3 linked regions of the Stegostoma tigrinum genome follow. The protein of the gene in region 3 interacts with the protein of the main gene of each other region in a biochemical or structural test. Links are inferred from orthologs where the notes say so. Each region holds a gene or a part of one and is shown on either strand. Other genes may lie near its edges.

What was found. The genes of interacting proteins can lie anywhere in the genome.
Region 1: the proteins of pdzk1 (region 3) and cftr form a complex in vitro, tested with the Homo sapiens proteins (2 studies listed by BioGRID and IntAct, with this or other methods). The link is inferred for Stegostoma tigrinum from reciprocal best matches to the Homo sapiens genes PDZK1 and CFTR.
Region 2: the proteins of pdzk1 (region 3) and sodium-dependent phosphate transport protein 2A-like form a complex in vitro, tested with the Homo sapiens proteins (2 studies listed by BioGRID and IntAct, with this or other methods). The link is inferred for Stegostoma tigrinum from reciprocal best matches to the Homo sapiens genes PDZK1 and SLC34A1.

The regions. Positions count from the first base shown.
Region 1 is NC_081371.1:34,862,513-34,869,500, forward strand, and holds the start of cftr (cystic fibrosis transmembrane conductance regulator), read left to right. Parts: upstream 1-3,986; 5' UTR 3,987-4,151; coding exon 4,152-4,204; intron 4,205-6,988. UniProt on the Homo sapiens protein: Epithelial ion channel that plays an important role in the regulation of epithelial ion and water transport and fluid homeostasis. Mediates the transport of chloride ions across the cell membrane.
Region 2 is NC_081366.1:72,046,657-72,054,612, forward strand, and holds the start of sodium-dependent phosphate transport protein 2A-like, read right to left. Parts: upstream 3,003-7,956; 5' UTR 2,988-3,002; coding exon 2,871-2,987; intron 20-2,870; coding exon 1-19.
Region 3 is NC_081359.1:15,465,638-15,472,543, forward strand, and holds the start of pdzk1 (Na(+)/H(+) exchange regulatory cofactor NHE-RF3), read left to right. Parts: upstream 1-3,902; 5' UTR 3,903-4,023; intron 4,024-6,906. UniProt on the Homo sapiens protein: A scaffold protein that connects plasma membrane proteins and regulatory components, regulating their surface expression in epithelial cells apical domains.

The sequences.
Region 1 (6,988 bases), on a different chromosome or scaffold from region 3:
TGTGTGAGAGAGGCAGAGATGCTGACCTGACTCCAATGTGCTTTAAGAAGCACTGTTCCCACCTCAACTTCATGGGAGAGCAGTGTATCAAGTGTCAGTATTTAACTGGGAAAGGTATCACTCATCCCCATCACCTACTGCAGCAATTGAACTGGGAATCAATTTCCTCCTACTTTTCCTTTATTATAGCATCACATTTTGACACTTCACCCAGTAGCTCATAGTACAGAAAATAACATGCAATACATGGAGGATTCATTGGCTCATGGGATGCAGCGGATCCATTGGAGTTTAGAAGGAGAGGTGATCTTAATGAAACATATGATTATGACAGTACTTGACATACTGAATCCCCTGTGGGAACCATTAGAAATAGGGCAAGTAGTTTAGGATGGAGACCGGACAGATTTTGCTTTCTCCCTCGAGGTTGGTTATGAGCCTTTGGAACTCTCCTTCCCTGAGAGAGGTGGAGGTAAGGTAAATAAATAACAAGGCAGCGGTAGATAGATTCTTGACTGAGAGGGAGTCAAAGATTGTCAGGGCTCGCTGAGAATTTGGAGTTGAGGCCACAATCAGATTAGCCAGGATCTTAACAATTGATGGAGCCGATCGGAGGCACAGAATGGCCAACTGCTGCTCCTAATTTGTATATTAGCAAGTATGTTGGTATCGTTTTTCTTCGAAGAAAAAAACCTTCCATTTTCCACTGGAGCACGAAATCAAGCCTTCTTTCTGCACTGTGATTTCTATTTCAAGCTTAATGTTCATTCTGTACTATTTCAGGTCGCATTCAAACACCCATTGGATAGTCGAAACGTTTGATTATGAAAAGATGTCTTAGCAAAATTAGGTAATGATCCTAGGAACTACCGGCTATGCGCTAGAGAAACGACATTAATTGCGTATTAATGAACCATAGCCTATACGGTTTTACTTTCCAGATTCACTGCAGTTCTCACAATGCTTATGGCAGTGTGGCATATTGCAACAGACATAGAGAACTGATTGAAATAGCTGAGCTCTAAATCAGTCTGACCTGTATAATTTACAATGTTAATTATCGCCTTCTGTCATTTTGACTCTATGCGTTTTTAAATTAAAATTCCCACATGTGGAATTAGCCATAGATAACACGGCATAAGGCTGTATAGACACAGCAGGCCAAGCAAGCAGCATCAGAGGAGCAGGAAAGCTGATCTTTCGGGTCGGACCCTTCTTCAGACATGTGAAATTAGCCATTCAGGCTTTGCAGTGAAACATTGCCAGTGATGACGGGAATGTTTTCAAACGAATTAAAAGTAGCGGCTCAGTAAAGTTCAGAATGCTGAATGTATGCTAATCCGCTCATTGTACAGCAACTTGTGAAGAATCGGGGACCAGAACAATTCTCCCCCCCGCTGGGATGGTGATATCTGTGAAGCAGGAACACGCTTTTGAAAATTCAAATAACAAAATCTGACTTTTTATTTAAGATAATAAAGTGTGAAGCTGGATGAACACAGCAGGCCAAGCAGCACCTCAGGAGCACAAAAGCTGACGTTTCGGGCCTAGACCCTTCATCAGAGAGCCTAGGCCCGAAACGTCAGCTTTTGTGCTCCTGAGAAGCTGCTTGGCCTGCTGTGTTCATCCAGCTTCACACTTTATTATCTTGGATTCTCCAGCATCTGCAGTTCCCATTATCTCTGACTTTTTATTTAACATCTCCAAATGCCGTAAACTCGTGGAAGAACTGGACAACAGTTCTGCGCGATTTCCAGCGAAGTATTTATTGAAAATATTGCACAATCTCTATGTTAAAATGCACTTTTCATTAAGACAGCCCAAAGCAGTGCACAATTGAATTAATTCTGAATATGTACAACGTAAATATAATAACCAGGTCAATTCTTACAAAAAATTATTATTTGACCTTTGTATCTCTAACAGAAAAAAGTGTAATTAATTACAAACCAAACTTTCTCTGTAGATTGCTCTGATTTGTGAAAATCCGAAGTTAGAAAGGCAATGTTTTAATAGACAACGGTGTTGTTTTGAAGTTATTTCTCAGAGGCGTAGCAGAGTTGTTAATTCAGTAACGATCAGGGTGACATCGCAGATTTACAATTTTAATGAACACATTTAGAAAATGAAATAAGGATGGATTTGCAGAACAAGCAAATCTCCATAACAAAAACAAAGTTGCTGGAAAAGCTCAGCAGGTCTGGCATCATCTGTGGAGGAGAAATCTGTTTTCTCCTCCACAGATGCTGCCAGACCTGCTGAGCTTTTCCAGCAACTTTGTTTTTGTTCCTGATTTACAGCATCCACACTTCTTATTAAGCAAATCTTAGTGATTTACCTATTGGAGATGTTTTTCCCTTCACCAGTTCAGCACCTTTCGACACAGGCCGCAGGGATAGGTTGCCCGTATCTATCGTGGTCCACACACACAGCCACAGTACAAACTGCCTTGCAACATTTCTCCCCTTCAACTCTGTGACTTGAAATGTGAGCTCCTGTTTGAGTCCGCATATGGATTAAATCCGCCAATAAAATAAATCAGTTTAAAGGCGCATTCTCTTCAAATACTGAAAACAACAAAAGCCACCCTAAACTTCATGGTTGCACTAAATGAATTGGCCTCCATGTCAGCAGTTACACCCACCTAGCCCTATGTTTGTTTGTGCAGCATTTGTTTTAGTTCTGCATCGTGTGCTGCAGTCCACGTTCTCCTCTCCATTGAGTTCTCCTTTGTCACAGTCGTGATTGTATCATTTTTGTTCCTGGAACTGGTTCGAAGCCTGGGAATGTTTTGCTCGCTGGGAATTCTTGACGAAAATTCTAAAGTTCAATTTCATCTGAAAATAAAAATCAGGTTCAAGTGCCCGAGAGAAAAATTAAAACCAAGATGTAATCGCTGGGGCGATGGGATACCTGGGCAGTAATATGCAAATACAACACACCTATACGAGGGAGACTTTAAAGTTTTTTAAAAAAATAATACCAGCATTCTCCAGCATCTGCAATTCCCATTATCTCTGATCACAATTTTAACCTCACTGCGAAGCCTCTTCCAGGATGCCTAACCTGAAGAAGTTACCCTCTTCCCTCCGGACCGACCTCAGGGAATCTCTATTTCAGAATCCTCTCCCCATCCCCCTTTTCTGATGAAGGGTCTAGGCCCGAAATGTCAGCTTTTGTGCTCCTAAGATGCTGCTTGGCCTGCTGCGTTCAGCCAGCTCCACACTTTGTTATCCCAGCTCTGACATGGTTCCACCAGAAGGATAGGGAATGAACAGGTTGTAATTACCTTGTGCATTCGTTTCCCTGCTGGATGTCAAACGCTGCGTTGGTAATCTTCAGTCATTCATATAAACGTTGCTACAATGAGATTAATTTATTGCTTTTTGATGAGCTTTTCAATAAAAAGGGCAGGCACACGTTTGCTTCGTTTTCTGTCAATATAGTTATCTCATGGGTCATTCAAAATATGGGTTCAGAAGAGAACTGCCACACGTGTGGCTGGTGAAATCAGAGATGTTGCTTCCTGCTGGTGAGAACTGCTGAACAACAAACACCTTGTTGATTCAAAAGTTCAACTACGGCGGGCGCTCCACATTCCCAGAAACCGAACGAGTTACAGTTCGGTACCTTATAGCGAATAACAGCTTTCCTCTAAAAGAAAACTCATTGTGTTTTTAAAAGTCTGTACAAAACAATGTAACGACCGCAAAAGAGAACACGTGGTGATTCCCTCGAGAAAACTCAGATTGAGGGGAGACATGGTCACCCAAAGGACACACAGAAAACTTCCAATGGACTGCCCACGATGAAACTTGTATTCATGATGGTTGCAATGTAAGAATAATAGCAGGTGCATTTGACAATATTCTTGGTATGTTAACCATTAATAAGTCACAACATTTTGTAGTTGTCTTGCAGTCGTTAATGATTACTGAGAACTGGACAGCAATTTGCAACAGTTGAAGTTCTGGCCGAAACGAGGTTTTGCAGATTCAGGAAGGCACAATGCTGTCAAATCTCAGCCTCCCTTTCCCTCCCTCTCTCTCTCTCTCTCTCTGCACTAAGCAGTGACATCATCAGGCAGTGTTAATAAGGTGGGGTGCGGGCAGGCTCTGTTTCAGGTACTGGAAACCCTTCACTGGACAACAATGCAGAGATCACCCATAGAAAAAGCAAATGCCTTCTCTAAACTCTTCTTCAGGTAAGACCAAGCAATCTCACTCTACCCCTCAGGTTCTGTTCTCAAAACAAACAAGTTCGCCGAGTGGAACCTCTACAGGCTTTTATACAGATTTGACCACATTTATTACACCGCCGGTACATTTTCTCTCTCTGACTTGGACGTTGTTCCTTCCCTGCCCGAATTGCAGTGTAATCTACGAGAAGTCTATTTCACTGGGTGTTGCTGAAGAGCGGAATACCAAGGTTCATAGATAAAGGAACTTGAAACTTCAGAAGAACATTTGTCACAGTTCACTAACCGGCAACAACTCCTACCAGTTGCACTGACCTTTCTCAGCCTACTGTTTGTAAGTCAGTCCCCAATCGCTGTAGAAACTGGAGCTTTCGCTGGGGAGGCTTCTCAGTTTGAAGTCCAGCTAAACTTTTTCAAAAGTCTTGCGAAACTTTGCGGCAACTTCTCTCTCGCGCTCTCTCTCCCTGTCTGTCTCTCACCGTGTGCAGAGACGTTGACGGTATAGAGGCCAGAAAATCACGAGCTCATTTAGGATTTCATTGTTGTCATGAAAAGGAAGTATAAAATCACATCGTTACGTTACTCAATGTGCAACACTTGAAGCTGCCCGGGAAAGTTATGCCAGTCTGATTTACAACCAGTTGATTTGTTATAAATTGATCCCAGAGCTTTCGGAGTGTGCGCCCTTTGTGTTTTCAGGACAGACATTTATTGGGAATGCAAATCAATTTTGTTTCAATGGGAGAGGATTTAGCTGTGAGCAAAGGGAATTAAAGATCCGTTCGGGGCAGAATGAAAAAAAAGTTGTAAATGTAAATGAAAACTATTTACTATATGTCTCTGTGGGTGATTCATTTAATTGTCAGTTATGTTAGAAGGTACTTACATGACTGTATATAGTCGCTATTCTGTAACTCCGTCAACCCGAATCCATTATATCTGTACCATGTCTATGTGAGAACCAAGAGTGGGACCAATCACAGCTCAGAATCATTTCAGCCAATCATATTTTAAAATATCAAGTAATCAACTACTGGAGTCTCATATTCTTGTCTCAGACTCTCAAACCAAACATAACAGGGTTCTCAATTTCTACCTTGTCATTTCAGGTGTTCTCGGGCGGGAAAGTTTATCAAACAGTCTAGAAAAAAATAACTTTGCCGAAATAAAACAGCTATCATGCAACCTACATCAAATGTTCAGTTACAGAATTAGATTAATCGAATCATACGGTTCGGAAGAGGTCTTTCGGCCCATCGAGTCTGCTCCCACCGTAATAAGAGTTTATATCTACATTAGTCTCATTTTCCAGCACTGACCCTACGACTTAAATGTTATGGTATTTCAAGTGTTCCTCCAAGTGCTTTTTTTTTAAGTTTGCGAGGTTTCCAGCTTCAGCTACCCTCCCAGGCAGAGCACTCCACATTCCCACCACATTCTGAGTGTAGAAAAAAAAATCTTCACTACCCCTCCAAAACTCCTCGTTTCACCTTGAAATTATCCCCTTTGTTATTGACTCTTGAACTAAGGTGAACAGCTATTTTCTACCCGCCATGTCCATGCCCGTCGTAATCTTTTAGACCTCAATCAGGTCTCCTTTCAGCCTTCTCTGTTCTAAAGAAAACACCCGAGCGCATAGCCTCGCAACTTCCTGGTGTATCTCCTCTGCGCCCCTCTAGTGCAATCGCATCCTTTCTATGGGGAGATAAGCTGACTGCACATGGTACTGCATTGGAATCTAACCAAAGTTCTGTATAGTTCCAGCATAATATCCTTGATTTTTTAGTCAATGCAGGGACTAATAAAAGTGATTGTCTTAACTACCTTGTTAATCTGTCCTACCACCTTCAGGAATGTGTGCGCAAACACCCCAAAATCGTTCTGTTCCTCGGAACTTGCTTGTTTATTGTCATTCATTGAGTATTTTCTTGTCTTGTTACTGGTTTCAATTATACAGCACGCCACCTGAGTACGCTCTATAGACTAGCTATTTCCATACTTTTCCCAATACTTTAATACTTAATTCATTTCTCAAGTAAATTCCCAATTCCGTTTCGAAATTGATTCCGTCATACTTTTGGGGAGTGCATAATAACCTCTTGTGTAAAATTAATTCTCCTCAACTTCCTTACAGCTCCTTTCCCAATTATTTTGAAAAGCCCTCCCTAGGCCATTGTCTTACTGGTGGAAACAATTTCTTCCAGTCTTTTCTATCAACGCTCCACTAATCTGAAAATTTGTATTAAATCTTCATATATTCTTCTCACTCTAAGGCAAACAGCTCCAGTATCCCAGCAATAATTTAGAGAATGTTACTCACCTCTTCATCCTAATTTCCAGGTCTTCCTTGTCTTCTCTCTGTTATAGAAAACATCCCGAAATCGAGCGTGTGGATACACGCCTGAAGTTCAGGGTCCAGTTTTTTTTCCCCCCCTCAGGGCCGATATTCAATAAACAAGAAAACTTGTCCGAGTGTGTTACATTAGGGGCCATAACTACGTAATACGCACAGTTATGCCACTGTCCATCCTCACTCTCCAATACTAACCACGACCATTGTCCACTCTCCTATTTCCTCTCGCTTCAGCATTTTCCATCTATAACCTCATTCCCAGTTGCTTTAACTTTGGCATCTCTTGGGAGCGAGCATGAAATGAATTATGGATCGCCGCAACAAAAAATGAACTTTGACAAAAACTTGCTCAGGCCACAGAGGGTGCAAGTAGAACTGTGATCCAGAAATAAGTGACATCAACAGAGAGAGAGAGGTGGGAACAGTAAGAGAAAGGT
Region 2 (7,956 bases), on a different chromosome or scaffold from region 3:
CTACCTGGAAAAGGAACAACTGCAACATATGCCAGTGCACAATCTGCAAGGGAAAAACTTACGAAATCATAGAATCAAAAGTTATACTGCTCAGAAACAGACCCTTCAGTCCAAATTGTCCGCATCAACCAGACATCCCAATCTTGCTAAGTGGTGAGGTCACCTTCCTGGACCTCTCAGTCTCCATCTCAGGTAACCAGCTAGAAACTGATGCCCATTTCAAGCCCACTGGCTCCCACAGCTACCTAGAATACACCTCCTTCCACCCACCCTCCTGCAAAAGTTCAATCCCCTATTCCCAATTCCTCCGCCCCCACTGCATCTGCCCCCAGGATGAGGCATTCCACTCCCGCACATCCCAGATGTCCACATTCTTCAAGGACCGCCACTTTCCCTCCGCAGTGATCGAGAATGCCCTTGACCGCGTCTCCTGCATTTCCCGCAACACATCCCTCACACCCCGCCCCTGCCACAACCGCCCCCAGAGGATCCCCCTCGTTCTCACATACCACCCCACCAACTTCCGGATACTACGCATCATCCTCCAACACTTCCGCCATCTACAATCCGACCCCACCACCCAAGCTATATTTCCATCCCCACTCTTGTCTGCCTTCCGGAGAGACCACTCTCTCTGCGACTCCCTTATCCGCTCCACACTCCTCTTCAACCCCACCACACCCGGCACCTTCCCCTGCAACCGCAGGAAGTGCTACACTTGCCCCCACACCTCCTCCCTCACCCCTATCCCAGGCCCCATGATGACCTTCCATATCAAGCAGATGTTCACCTGCACTTCTGCCAATGTGGTATACTGTATTCATTGTACCCGGTGTGGCTTCCTCTACATTGGGGAAACCAAGCGGAGGCTTGGGGACTGCTTTGCAGAACACCTCCGCTCGGTTCGCAACAAACAACTGCACCTCCCAGTCGCAAACCATTTTAACTGGGCCTCCCATTCCTCAGACGACATGTCCATCATGGGCCTCCTGCAGTGCCACAATGATGCCACCCGAAGGTTGCAAAAACATCAACTCATATTCCGCTTGGGAACCCTGCAGCCCAATGGTATCAATGTGGACTTCACAAGCTTCAATATCTCCCCTTCCCCCATGGCATCCCAAAACCAGCCCAGTTCTTCCCCTTCCCCCCCACTGCATCCCAAAACCAGCCCAGCCTGTCTCCGCTTCCCTAACCTGTTCTTCCTCTCACCCATCCCTTCCTCCCACCTCAAGCCGCACCTCCATTTCCTACCGACCACCTCATCCTGCCTCCTTGACCTGTCCGTCTTCCCTGGTCTGACCTATCCCCTCCCTACCTCCCCACCTATACTCTCCTCTCCACCTATCTTCTTTTCTCTCCATCTTTGGCCCGCCTCCCCCTCTCTCCCTATTTATTCCAGCTCCCTCTCCCCAACCCCCTCTCTGATGAAGGGTCTAGGTTCGAAACGTCATCTTTTGTGCTCCTGAGATGCTGCTTGGCCTGCTGTGTTCATCCAGCTCCATACTTTGTTATCGCAATCTTGCTAAGTCCCACTTGCCCCCATTTGGCCTATATTCCCCTAAACCCTTTCTATTCATGTCCCCATCCGGATGCTTTTTAAATGCCATAATTGTACCAGCTTCCACTACCTCCTCTGGCAACTCGTTCCATACATGCAACACCCTCTGTGCAAAAATGTTGTCCTCAGGTCCCTTTTAATTCTTTCTCCTCTCACCTTAAAACTATGCCCTCGAGCTTTACACTCCCCTGACCTGGAAAAAAAGACCTTGGCTGTTTATCCTATCCATGCCTGTCATGGTTTCACAAGTTTCTATAAACCAACCTTCCGCCTCTAATGCTCTGGGGGAGAAACGTCCCAATCTCTTCAGCCTCCATCCTGGCAACATCCTTGTAAATCCTTTCCGAAGCGTTTCAAGTTTAACAACGCCGTTTCCTACATGTTGCTGGCATCGACTTCATAATAATTCTCAGCCAAAATAAATCATGCTTCCTTCTTAATGTATGCAACATATACTATATTTTTGGTATGGGATGTATATTTTAATAGTATGTATTGTCACTATTATACAGGCTATCTATAATGTTTGGGCCACCTGTGGTTTACCTGGTAATACTCTCACCTTCACATTATATGGTGGGCTGCTGTGGATTGTCAAGACTAGTTTAGTCTGGGAACTTGATCAGCATGGATGAGTTGGACCAAAGGGTCTGTTTCCATGCTATTTGACTCTGAGACCCATTCCAGAAACCTGATTACAAAATCTCGCTGATCACTCCAATGCAACGCCAATACTGCATTACCTTTCAGATGAGAAAGTGAGGCCCTGACTGGCCCATCAGGCGGGTGTAAAAGATCCCACTTTTGCTACTTCAAACAAGAACAGAGGCCTTCTTCCTGATTATAGAATCCCTACAGTGTGAAAACAGGCCATTTGGCCCACCAGGTTCCTTCCAAGCCTCTGAACAGCATCCTACCCACATCCAACGTCCAACCCTTTCTCTGTAACTCTGCAATTCCCATGGCTAATCCACCTAACCTGAGCATCCCTGGATACTATGAGCAACCTAACATGGCTCATCCATCTAACGTGCATGTTTTTGGGCTGTGGGAGGAAACCAGAGCACCCAGACACAGGGAGCATGTACAAACTCTACACAGACAGTTGCCTAAGAGTAGAATTGAGCCCAGGTCCCTGGCGCTGTGAGGTAGTCATGCTAACCACTGAGCCACTGTGCCACCTGATGGCCTGATCACTATTTATTCTTCAACAAAAGTTACGAAAACAGACTAATATCTCATTACTTCACATGAGATTTTACCATTTGAAAACTGGTCACTGCATTCATCACTGCATTTCTAAAGTTACCTGTAAAGAGCGTTGAAACCCCAAAGTTGTGTACGGTGCTATATAAATGAATTTTGTTTCTTCTGCGAGCTTTGTGATTGTGGAACAATTTTCTTGCACCTCAGCACATCTACACATCAAAATTTATTAGATATGAAACATTTGAGGATTGTTTGAAAATATGAGAAACTGTTCCTTTAAACCGGATACATTGTGATGTCCAACCCAAGGAAGCCAACATTTAAAATCAATGTAGATAGTCAAATGTTCACTGATAAAATAAGATGCCCTCACAAAACCCAAGGATCCTATTCCAAATTCCAAGCCTGGGATCACTTGCAGATCGGAGAGAGCATTGCTAGCTTGTACTGACTTTCCTTCCTAATATAAAGCAATTGCTTCTTAGGGTCAAATAGGTCACAGAAAAAATCACTCTGCTGTAATTCCAACGTGCCTTGGGCCAGAAAAGTAACCAACCCTCTCTCTTTAGGGTTTATTCCTAAGTCAGAGATCTTTTAAAGGGATTCCTTTCAAGTCTTAATTGATACAACTTCCACTCAGACCTCCACGAAAGCAGAGAGAGAAATTTCCCAAGATTTTTTTTTTCTGATATTATCCCTTGTTGAGACTGAAGATAAGGTAGATGGGATTTCTAAACTGCCTTCTGCAAACTCCCAAAGACAACAATTAGATAATGAGCAGTTAATTTATTACCACCAATGGACCAGAGCAGTGGTGAAGCAAACCCCGAACATATTTTCAGGGAATGCTGATGGAGATGTTAGATACCATCTCCTCCTTTAGACTGCCGCTGACTGAATGGTCAAACATTCACTGGGAGCAATTCTTTCAATGAATGAACCAAAGAAACCATTTCGCTTGATCCTGTCTGTACTGATAGTTGTTCTCTCCAAGGCAACTCTAACGGTATCTGCATGCATTTTGCATGGCTTTCAACACAGTGTTAGACATATACAAAACAGTACAATTTGAGCATTGGCTAGTATAAATTACAGCCATCACGTCAGAATATCATCCAAATTTACCCACATTGTAGGGGGGTTAAAAATCAACATTTTGGATCATCCATGCTTATTCAGTTTCCTATCTGTTTGGAGATATGGTCAGGACTGTGATTGAGTCACTCTCAGAGCTTGTGATTAATGCGATGGTTGGAACTGATGATGGCCTTGATACATGCGATCATGCACTTACAATTCCAGAAGTCAAGAATAAAGAAACACTTTCGGAATGCATCTAACACACGTATAAGGTATGTTAAAGTCCAGAACCAGTTGGGCTCCCCTACCTTGGAAGAAAAACCCTTGGCTATTCACCTTACCCGTGCCCCACTTGATTTTGTATATCTCTAGAAGGTCACCCTTCATCCTCTGATGATCCAGGGAATTAAAGCCCTGGTCTATTCAACCTCTCCTGATAGCTCAAATCCTCCAATCCTAGCAACATCCTTGTAAATCTTTTCTAAAAACTTTCGGGCTTAATAACCTCCTTCCTATGTGTTACCAGCATCTGCTTCATAATAATTCTCGGTCAAGGTGACCACACTAACCCATTCAATATCACATTTGCTCTCATTTCCTCTAGTCTTTTGGTTACATTTGCATCTCTGCTCCATCATTTCGGACAAAATCTTTATGTGGCGTGGACTGACATTCTAAAACACTTTCTCTAAACCTCTCAGTCTTTTCCCCACCTCATCACTCTTCAAGATCTTCACAAAATCCATCTCGTTCCAAAAATCTGATTATCTTCCTCAACTCCCACATCAGCTCCGCACCTATTCATTTTCCTTCTGAAGGCACATTAAAATATCTTAATGCTAAAATAGTAGCCTATTTACTCGCTGTTACTTTAGAAATCTATATGATTTATGTATATAATGGTATCAGAACATAAATCATTATGGTCAATTCCATTAATATGCCTTTGCTTTCAGTAGCTATAGTGTAATTAACTTCAAAATGCAACTTTTCAGAGAAACTGTCCTCAAGAGGCAAAAGCATCCTCAAAACTAAACAATGGATGCAGTTCTGCTGGAAGACAAACTGTCCTAGTCATAACACAGAAAGATTCACAGCCTGTTCAATTAATTATTCTGTTTTATATCCACTAATTCAATCACATAACTTCCTCTGTCTGCTAGATTAAATTTATCTTCTTGACACCTTTGAGTGGCTTGAACTCAATTGTTAACTTCTTAAATCACTGTTAAAATAACACAAAGCAGGGTCTGAAAAAGATGTTAAATGGTGTTTAGCAAATATAATGCCCGAGGTTAATCAATACTATGAACTTTAAAAAGTGAATATTTTAATCGTGTTTTTTTTTCATTATGACTCATTTGAATAAAACAGGGAATTAGGTTCATAAAGAGAACAAACATTTGAGCTACGTAATCTCAAATGCAAACAATATTAACAATCAACTCTATAATTTCCAGACACCTCGCTGTTACAAAAGTATATGATCATGCCTTACCCGATCTTGATCTTGGAACTGGTCTCCTCACAGATTCTCACATTTACACACTTGACCCAGTTTGGGAAGAAAGTATTTCAACACTTGTCTTTTATACATAGACTAAGAGAGCAAAGTCTGCAGTGCCAAACTTATAGAGCGTGTACCTGCAATAACTAACCAATGATGAGGAGGCTGAACATCGTTAATTTATAATCAACTTTTGGTGCATAAAGTGCTGACCCTGGAAGAGCTGGATCTGTGTATTCCATAAACTCACCATTCAAACTATTTGCCAAATTCAGTAAAATCCCTTTGATGAGCAGAAGCAAGAGGGGTGTTGCGTTTGGTTAACTCTGAGTTATCTCAAGCATTTTTGGATGATTTTTGCCGTGAGGCCTTGTGCATTTTGTCAGTGAAATAACTGCTCAGAGACCAGTATCCTGTCACCAAGCCATCTTTTTTATACCCGTACACAGTACACTGGCTATGACCAGGCAGCTCAGAGTCAGCCCCTGAAGTGAGGCGATTCTAAATCTCCTGGTTATTTTGGTCAGCCAGGGCTTTCCTGGATTGGTCCAGGTTAACAGCCACAATCGATGAGGTCCTGGTCAACAGGATCTACCTAGTCCCAATCACTACACCCCTCACCAACTAAGTCTGAGAAGGTTGGTCTGGTCTTTCGTTTGTAGCTTCTTTTGCAACATTTTTACTCTTGTCTGGTTCCTCTCATAGATCCAGGCACTGGCGGTGCATACTGGGCCGTGGCCTGCCTCTTGTATCTGGAACATCTCAGTAGAGTTCCCTCCTCTTCTTCCGGCAGCAACAGTTTCAAGGCTGCATCCATTTCAGACTCTGAAGTTTCCCTAACAGTGGGTGGAGGGGGAGCACCTTCGGCTCCTGCCGAGCCTCCTGGCAACTTTCCCCGTTTGTGAGGTAACAGCTTTCAGGTGATCAGCATGTTTGTTCAGGACCGCCTCAGCCACCCGGACTTTGTAAGTCACGGGACCTGACCTTGCATCAACCTCATCTTGTACCCAGACAGGGCCATTTCCATTGGCTTCAGCACCAATTTAATCCCCGAATTAAATTGTCTCTCTCGCTTAGAGGTGGCTTGTGAATGGAATTGGCATTCTTGCTGCCATTTCACCCTACCCCCAAGCCTCGGAACATCAATTTTAACCTGGTACGGAGTCCTCTTCCCATCAGCAACACTGATAGAGCTATCACTGTTGTTGAGTGAGGTGTAGTCCTATAATTGAACAGGAACGGGGGACAGTTTGGTATTGAGTGATGCTATAGGCTGCTTCAACATTTGGATCACTCTTTCTGCTAGACCATTGCCTTAACCATCAACTCTTGCAAGGTTTTAGTATCTGGTGCCTCTGGAAAAGTTAAACCCCTTATAACCGAGAATGCTGTGGGTCCGCAAGCAGCCAGAAGGATAGCTTGTTGCTTTTCATCTGCCCCCAATGTCATCTGCCTGGGATAAAAAATAATTGCATTCTTTCCACATACTGGGCCCAGTCTTCGATGGCAGGATCAATGTGTTAAGCTTCCCAAATAAAGGCATGATGCCAGAAATGCTTACCCCAACTCCAAGATGGCTGCCACAAACGAATGTTCTTCAGGCACGCCCTGCTTTCTCCTGTCACCACTGAAGTTCCCTGTTTATACTGGTCAGCCAGGGCTTCCTTGATGGCTTGGGTTAACAGCTCAAATCAAGGACCTCCAAGTCAACAAGGTCCACCTTTTTCCAAACACTACATTCACCACACTTTGCTAAACAGGTATTATCAACTACTTACCCCAAGCACTCGGACAGGAACTGGCCTTCTGAAGGAACCCTGATCAATTTCAGGCAGATTGTGAATGTTTGGGAGAAGAGGAAGATGGCACGGTCATTTCTCTTCAGGGATCTGGAGGTCCCAGTGAATGGGGGTATTGCAGAAGGGGTGCAGAGGAGGCCACGAAACTGGACCCTGTCAGGTTGGCCTGAGGTCACTACTTATTGAGTCATATGCCTGGGAACAAACTCTTTGGTCCAACAAGTCCATGCCAACCCTATTCCCAAACTAAACTAGTCCTACTTATCTGCACTTAACTGATACCCCTCCAAATGTTTGTTATCCATATACTTATCCAAATGTCTTTTAAATGTTATAACTGTACCCACATCCACCACTACCTCTGGCAGCTTACTGCACGTACGAACCACTCTCCGTATGAAAAATTTGCCCTCATGTCCTTTATAGATCTTTCTCCTCTCACCTTAAAAATATTCTCTAGTTTTGTACTCCCTCACCTTGTCATTCATCTTATGTATGCCCCTCATGATTTATAAATCTCGATAAGGTCACCTGTCAACCTTCCGTGCTCTGGTGAAAAAAGTTACAGTCTTTCCAGTCTATTTTCATATCTCAACATCGTGGCAAATCTTTTCTGAACCCTCTCTAGTTTAATAATATCTCCTTATAACAGTGCAACCAGATCTGGACACAGTATTCCAGAAGAGGCCCCACCAATGTCCTGTATAACCTAAACATGATGTCCCAACTCCTATACTCAAAGGTCCGAGCAATGAAGACGAGTGTGCTAAATGCCTTGTTAACCACCTTGTCTTCCTATG
Region 3 (6,906 bases):
GTGACACCTCCTCTTGTTGGCTATTTACTATCCCTTCTGACCTTCCGCTCTTTAATGCTGAACATGCCGTATTCAGTAATGATCTTTGTTTTATCCCTCTGAGTCCCCACCTCATCCAACTGCTAGATAGATCTTCAGCATACTTCATTCAAACCCAACACAACATGCACAGCACACTGGTGTCTACCCCTGGGAGTTTGACATTTGATGGACAGGGGAGCTTTCATGCCCCCACTGGCCTCTGGTTAAAATCATCCTGTGCCTCTGAAAAACAAGTGGGCCCTCCTGTTAATTTATGGAAGTTAGTTTTTAATTCTGCTGGTCAAAAGACAAGGTCCAGGACCTTCGTAATTTTTGATGGCGCCTTGCTCAAGGAGCAAGAAAGCAGTACAAAGGAAAATGCGCCTCTCTCTCTACTCAATGCTGCATGCTGCTGCAAGTGTCTGAATTTACAATTCATGTGCTTTAGAGGTATAACTTCTAAATTAGGAATTGATGTGTTAGATGTAAGATGAATGAAACTATCCAACTGAGAAACAATATTGAATTAAGTGGCAATTCAAATACATACAGGTAATCACTGATTCACAGGAGGCCTATAATTATTTAAATTATTTATCTCGTTCCCAGATCAAAAAATCCAAAAGCAACTTTGTAAACAATGAAGTTCTGTGATTGAACAAACAAGTCTACTGAAAAGGGTTATTAACTCCATCAGGAGACACATCATTCATGATGGTGCCAGAATGTAAGGGGGTTTTGAAAACAAAAGATAACTAATTTATATTACAGCTTGGAACATGCCATTTATGTCACACTGCCATGTTGGTATTCTGTGGGGCTTATGGATATTTGATTATTTTCTGGTAAGTTTGCTCAAAGAAGGCAATCAACATTTCAGGTTGGAAACAGAAGGATACAAGTGCAACTTACTGGGGAAAAGAACAAAAGAGATAAATGTTAGCCGACTTTAAACGGAGAAAATAGCACTTTATCATTCATCATGTAGAATGCAGGTTGGAGCTTCTGCTCAGTTGGGAGGCAAAGATCCTGAAGGAAAAGAGGCTGAAAGATTTGCCTATATTGAACTGAATGAAGAACTCTGTATTGGCCTTTATAGGATACAGGGTGAAGAAGGCAGAGAATATGTTATAGAGAAAGTGTCTGCGATTGAGTTAGGGGTTGGAAAGTGGGACTAAGAGCGACACAGGACTTTAGAGGCTATTAGGAACCAAGGCATTGAGTATGTATGCTGTGAATGCAAGGTGTAGGGTCCAAGTTGAGCTGTGAAGTTCACAAGAATGAGTTTAGAGGAAAAATTGGAGAATTTCTTGGCCAAAAGCTAATGAAAGAATCCCGACAAAATCTCTCACCTTAAAAAATACCAGAATGCTGAGAAATTAATTTCAAATCTTTCAAGCTGTGACATACTTGGTTTGAATTCTAAAGGAGAAGTGAATGAATCCACAAGATCCCATAATGTGTTTAATGTGTTTCATAATAATGAAACTCATGTATGTAATTAGGAAGCAAATGAGGAACTGTGTTGTCTTAACAAAATAGAGTTCCAAATAAGTCATGCTTGCATTATGATCTTTATACATGTGGAGAAGGGCGTATTTTGGTTTCAAATATGAAATCCTGTGCATGTTTCTTTCAGTGAATCACTGGGTGCTTAATTCTTTTCTTTAAACGTTAACTGTCTCTATGGAGATTGTAACATTACCCAGACAAATTCACTAACTATGATGGAATGAGGTGGAAGAACAAATCAATATCAGCACTATTGTAAACAGAAATAAAGATTGCTGTAAAAGCTCAGCAGGTCTGGCAGCATCTGTGGCGAGAAATTAGAGTTAACATTTCGGGTCACTCAACCTGAAATATTAACTGATTTCTCTCCACCGGCGCTGCCATACCTGCAGAGCATTTCTGGCAACCTCTATTTTTGTTTCTGATTTACAGCATCCGCAGATCTTTTGGATTTTATTCAGCGTCATTACAACCTGGATCAGTGCAGGAAGAAGTCTCATGATCTCGTCAGGGCTATGAATGTGAGACTCCCCTTCAAAGTTTCCCTAAATCTCTATTTTGCTTCAGCAACAGCAATATTTTCTCCCATCTCTACTCCATACTACTCATAACCACCTGTCAATCACAATGGACTCTCCACTGTCTGTACTTGCATATTCCACTAATCACAACTATTCCCCTCATGTCAACACTTGGTGTCCTTTTCTCCCATATCCTTCTTTATGTGAAAAGAAAGATTGAATGATGTTTCTGAATCAATGCGGTATTCTGAGGCAACAAGGTGTGGAGCTGCATGAACGCAACAGGTCAAGCAGCATCTTAGGTGCAGCATCTTAGCTGACGTTTCGGGCCTAGACCCTTCATCAGAAATGGGTGAGGGGAAGAAGGTTCTGAAATCAATAGGGAGAGAGGGGGAGGCGGACCGAAGATGGATAGAGGAGAAGACAGGTGGAGAGGAGACAGACAAGTTAAAGGGGCGGGGATGGAGCCAGTAGAGGTGAGTGTAGGTGGGGAGGTAGGGAGGTGATTGTCCAGTCCAGGTAGGACGGATAGGTCAAGGGGGCGCGGGATACCGACCCCACCACCAAAGGCACTTTTCCCTCCCCACGCTTATCTGCTTTCCGAAGGGACCACTCTCTCCGTGACTCCCTTGTCTGCTCCGCCACACCTGGCACTTTTCCTTGCAACCGCAGGAAGTGCTACACTTGCCCCCACACTTCCTCCCTCACCCCAATCCCAGGCCCGAAGAAGACTTTACATATCAAGCAAATGTTCACTTGCACATCTGCTAATGTGGTACACTGCATCCACTGTACCCAGTGTGGCCTTCTCTACATCGGGGAAACCAAGCGGAGGCTTGGGGACCGCTTTGCAGAACACCGACGCTCGGTTCGCAATAAACAACTGCACCTCCTAGTCACGGGCCATTTCAATTCTCCCTCCCATCCCTTAGTCGACATGTCCATCCTGGGCCGATTGCAGTGCCATAATGATGCCACCCGACGGTTGCAGGAGCAGCAACTCATATTCCGCTTGGGAACCCTGCAGCCCAATGGCATCAATGTGGATTTCACAAGCTTCAAAATCTCGCCTCCCCCACCGCATCCCAAAACCAGCCCAGCTCGTCCCCGCCTACTAACCTGTTCTTCCTCCCACCTATCCACTCTTCCCACCTCAATCCGCACCCCCATTTCCTAGCTACTCACCTCATCCCGCCCCCTTGATCTGTCCATCCTCCCTGGACTGAACTACCTCCTCCCCACCTACACTCACCTTTACTGGCTCCATCCCCACCTCTTTAACTTGTCTGTCTCCTCTCCACCTATGTTCTCCTCTATCCATCTTTGATCCGCCTCCTCCTCTCTCCCTATTTATTTCAGAAACCTCTTCCCCTCCCCCATTTCTGACGAAGGGTCTCGACCCGAAATATCAGCTTTCCTGCTTCTGAGACGCTGCTTGGCCTGCTGTGTGAATCCAGCTCCACAACTTGTTATCTCAGATTCTCCAGCATCTGCAGTTCCTATTATATCTGATACAGTATTCTGAGGCATCCAGTTCTGGGCAACTTATAAGCAGCCAAACATTTTCAAAGCCCCTTCAGCAGGTTAGAGACTAACCCAGTAGAGAAAAAGCTTGCCAAACTAGAGTGACACACACACAGTCACTTAGTTATGACAGTAAACAGTAAAGAGTTTTACACAGTGCCCTATCCAAGTGGGAGTTTTGTGGTCACATTAATTATTAGAGATTCATTGCTATTAGAATTTCACAAATAAACGTTGCCTAGTAAAGAGTTCATGGAAGCAGTCACATCAATTAAATATTGGACACAGTGATAAAGGGAATGTATCAGCATTCCACAATATGTCGAGTGCTCTGCTGAATTGTTCAACCTTTTAACCAAACCTTGATCAAAGTCCATAGGTGTAGATTGCACCTACAAAAGACAACATTCATAGATTCACTAGCAACTGAACCGACCAGAGTTTGGTAAGCACTTTTTGTGAGCATTATTTTGCCCTGGATTAATTTTTGGATAGAAATACGGCTCGAGTTTAATTGTCAGCAGCAAACATCGCAATATAACTAGTGTCCGCACATTCCCCTGTGTCTGTTTTAATCATTTGACATATTGCTAATCTGTATTTTCAATTTCACTGCTGTTCAAATATTGACTGCAATCATCTGCTATTGAAGTTTAATAGAATAAGCAGGTAAATAACTTTTCATGACAAATTATACTCCTGCTGTGCAACTTAAGTAAAGCAAAAAAGTACAGACACCTTGGAATTCTCAGTGCATACAACTTCCTATTGAAATTACTTTTCTATAATAACGTTTTATAGTCCTGGCTCAATTTTTCAAACTAATATAATGCAACACTATTTATTTAAGTATGATAACTTACTTCTGAAATAGTAGTCTGTAAATGGGGTGATCAATAAATATAAATAGTTTGTTAATTACTTAGGGTATCCCATGTAGAGACATAATATTACTTACAGTCAGACATAGACATAATCTACTGAATGGCCTCCAACTGGACTGTCAGAATTTGTGATTAGGAGATCCACACAGATTTTAACTGAAATCTATTTACGTTAGCTGTGGTCTTGTCCCGGAACCGAAGGCAATATCTAATCGCAGTGGTTTTATACTTTATTTTTGGTTACATCAATAATGCTGTTTAAATTAGAGCTGGCATTAGTACAATAGAGAGGAATGACATATGGTCAGGAAACCAGAATGCAGAAGTAGTTTAGATGGTGATGACATATGACAAAGGGAAGAAGCCATTTATAGGAGTGGTATATAGGCTTTCTAATAGTAAATACACATAAGATGGCAAATATAGGAAGCAATCAGACGGGAATGTCAGAAAGGTTTGGCAAAAATCATGGGGAATTTTAATGTGGTACAAACTGGAAAATTGAATGGGCAAAGATAGGCTCGATGAAGATTTCATAGATATTTTTCAGGATGGTTTCTCAGAGCCGACCAGAGAGCATGCAATACTAGATCTGGTGCTGTGCAATAAGATAGGATTTGAAGTGAAAGTCCCAATAGTTATTGATGACCATAATATGATTGAATTTTACTTTCAGTTGGAGAGAGAGAGAGAGAGAGAGAGAGAGAGAGGAGTGGGTCCAAGACTAGTATTTTAGACAGAAACAAGGGTAATTATGGTGATAAGAAAGTAGGTCTAACTGAAGTGAACAGGCAAGTTAGGTTAAGAGGGAAATCATGTTTAATCAATCTGTTGGAGATCTTTGAGGAAGTAACACATGCTGTGGATAAAGGGGAGCTGGTTGACACAGCAGACTTAGATTTCCACTGCAACTCATAGAGATAGACCTGAAACTGAAGGAAGTCTCTCCCATATCGGGAATTTGCTTATTTTCAAAGGCATTAGTGAAGGCCAAAACACTGGTGTGAAATTGGAATTATTCTTTATTATAGACTAGGAGGAGGGGCCCCCGTTTATAGCAGGTATAGGCTTCCACCAGCAGCAGCTATGCCCACTGGGGTCTCAAAAGCTTGGGAATGCCTTCTGTTCATTTAGAAATCTCTTTAAAACCTACCAGACATTTTCTAATACACTGTATGTGTTTCAGGTGTCAAATATTGGTAGGTAATTACTTCTATGAAGCTCCTTGGGACTATTTACAACCTTAATGATGATGATCAAATGTGAATTGTTGCTCAAGACCTTAAAATGTGCAGGGGCCACTATTCCAGGTGATGCTGGCAGTGATCTTGAGTCTAGCTTTTTCCGGTGAACCCACATTCTCTATGCTGGATGGTAATCTTCATTTGAAAGACTATTCCTCAATGTGGCCTCAGTGTGGACTGGTGTTGTCAATTCTCAAAATTGGCCCTGAGTCTCCAGAACACTGAGTAAAATCACTGGGACTTCTAAAAAAAAGAGGGTGCACTTTCATTCATGCAAATGTGATCCCTCCTATCTGGCTATTATTGGAGACAGGAGCAAGTGAACAGATATTTGACTGAGAGCCAAGCATCAACCTGTCAGATCACACAGAAGTCTGATTGGTTGGTGGAAGCATACTGTATTAGATGAACAACTGGCCAATGACAATACTGTGGTCTGGAACAAAAATGTATTTTTAATCAGCCTATTCTGAGTTACTATCACACACCCCTGAAACAGGTCAGACTTGACGCTAAGCCTCCTGGTCCAGGGTAGGAACACTACCACAGCACCACAGGAGGGTTCCATAACATGGATGCGGTCAGGAAAGTTTAAGATGACATTGGTAAACCCCAATATGGATTGGGAGTGAATTTCAGCTCACTGGGTCTGGCTGTCATTACATCATAAGTGTAAATAGCATGAAACAAAATATATATATTCAATTCACAAGGGGCAAATTAAACTTCTTTCTCCCACCCAGATGTCAGGGTGCAATTTGATTTTCTGAGTGAACAGATTTTCTAATGAAGTTACAATGATCAAGAGGTGGGACAATTTATCCCTCAGTATCCAGTCATGTGTGAGATGTATATGGGCATGATAGCTCTATTAATAGTCACTACTCAAAATGATGACACATGGTTTGGTGTGTATTATAAAACAGTGTGTATACTTATTAAAATTAGCTTATATTTTTTCTGTATTTTTAATATATTAAAACATCCTGTCTTCAAACGAGCAAGTATTAAATGAAATTTGACACAGAGCCACATAAGGAGATACTATGGCAGATGATCAATAAATTGATCCAATTTGTAGATGATAAGGACAAGTGAGATACAGAGGCTGGGAAGTTTAGGGAAGAAATGCCAGAGTTTAGGACACAAGCAGCTTGAAGATAGAACTGCCCAACAGTGGGTGGAATTGGAAGAACACAG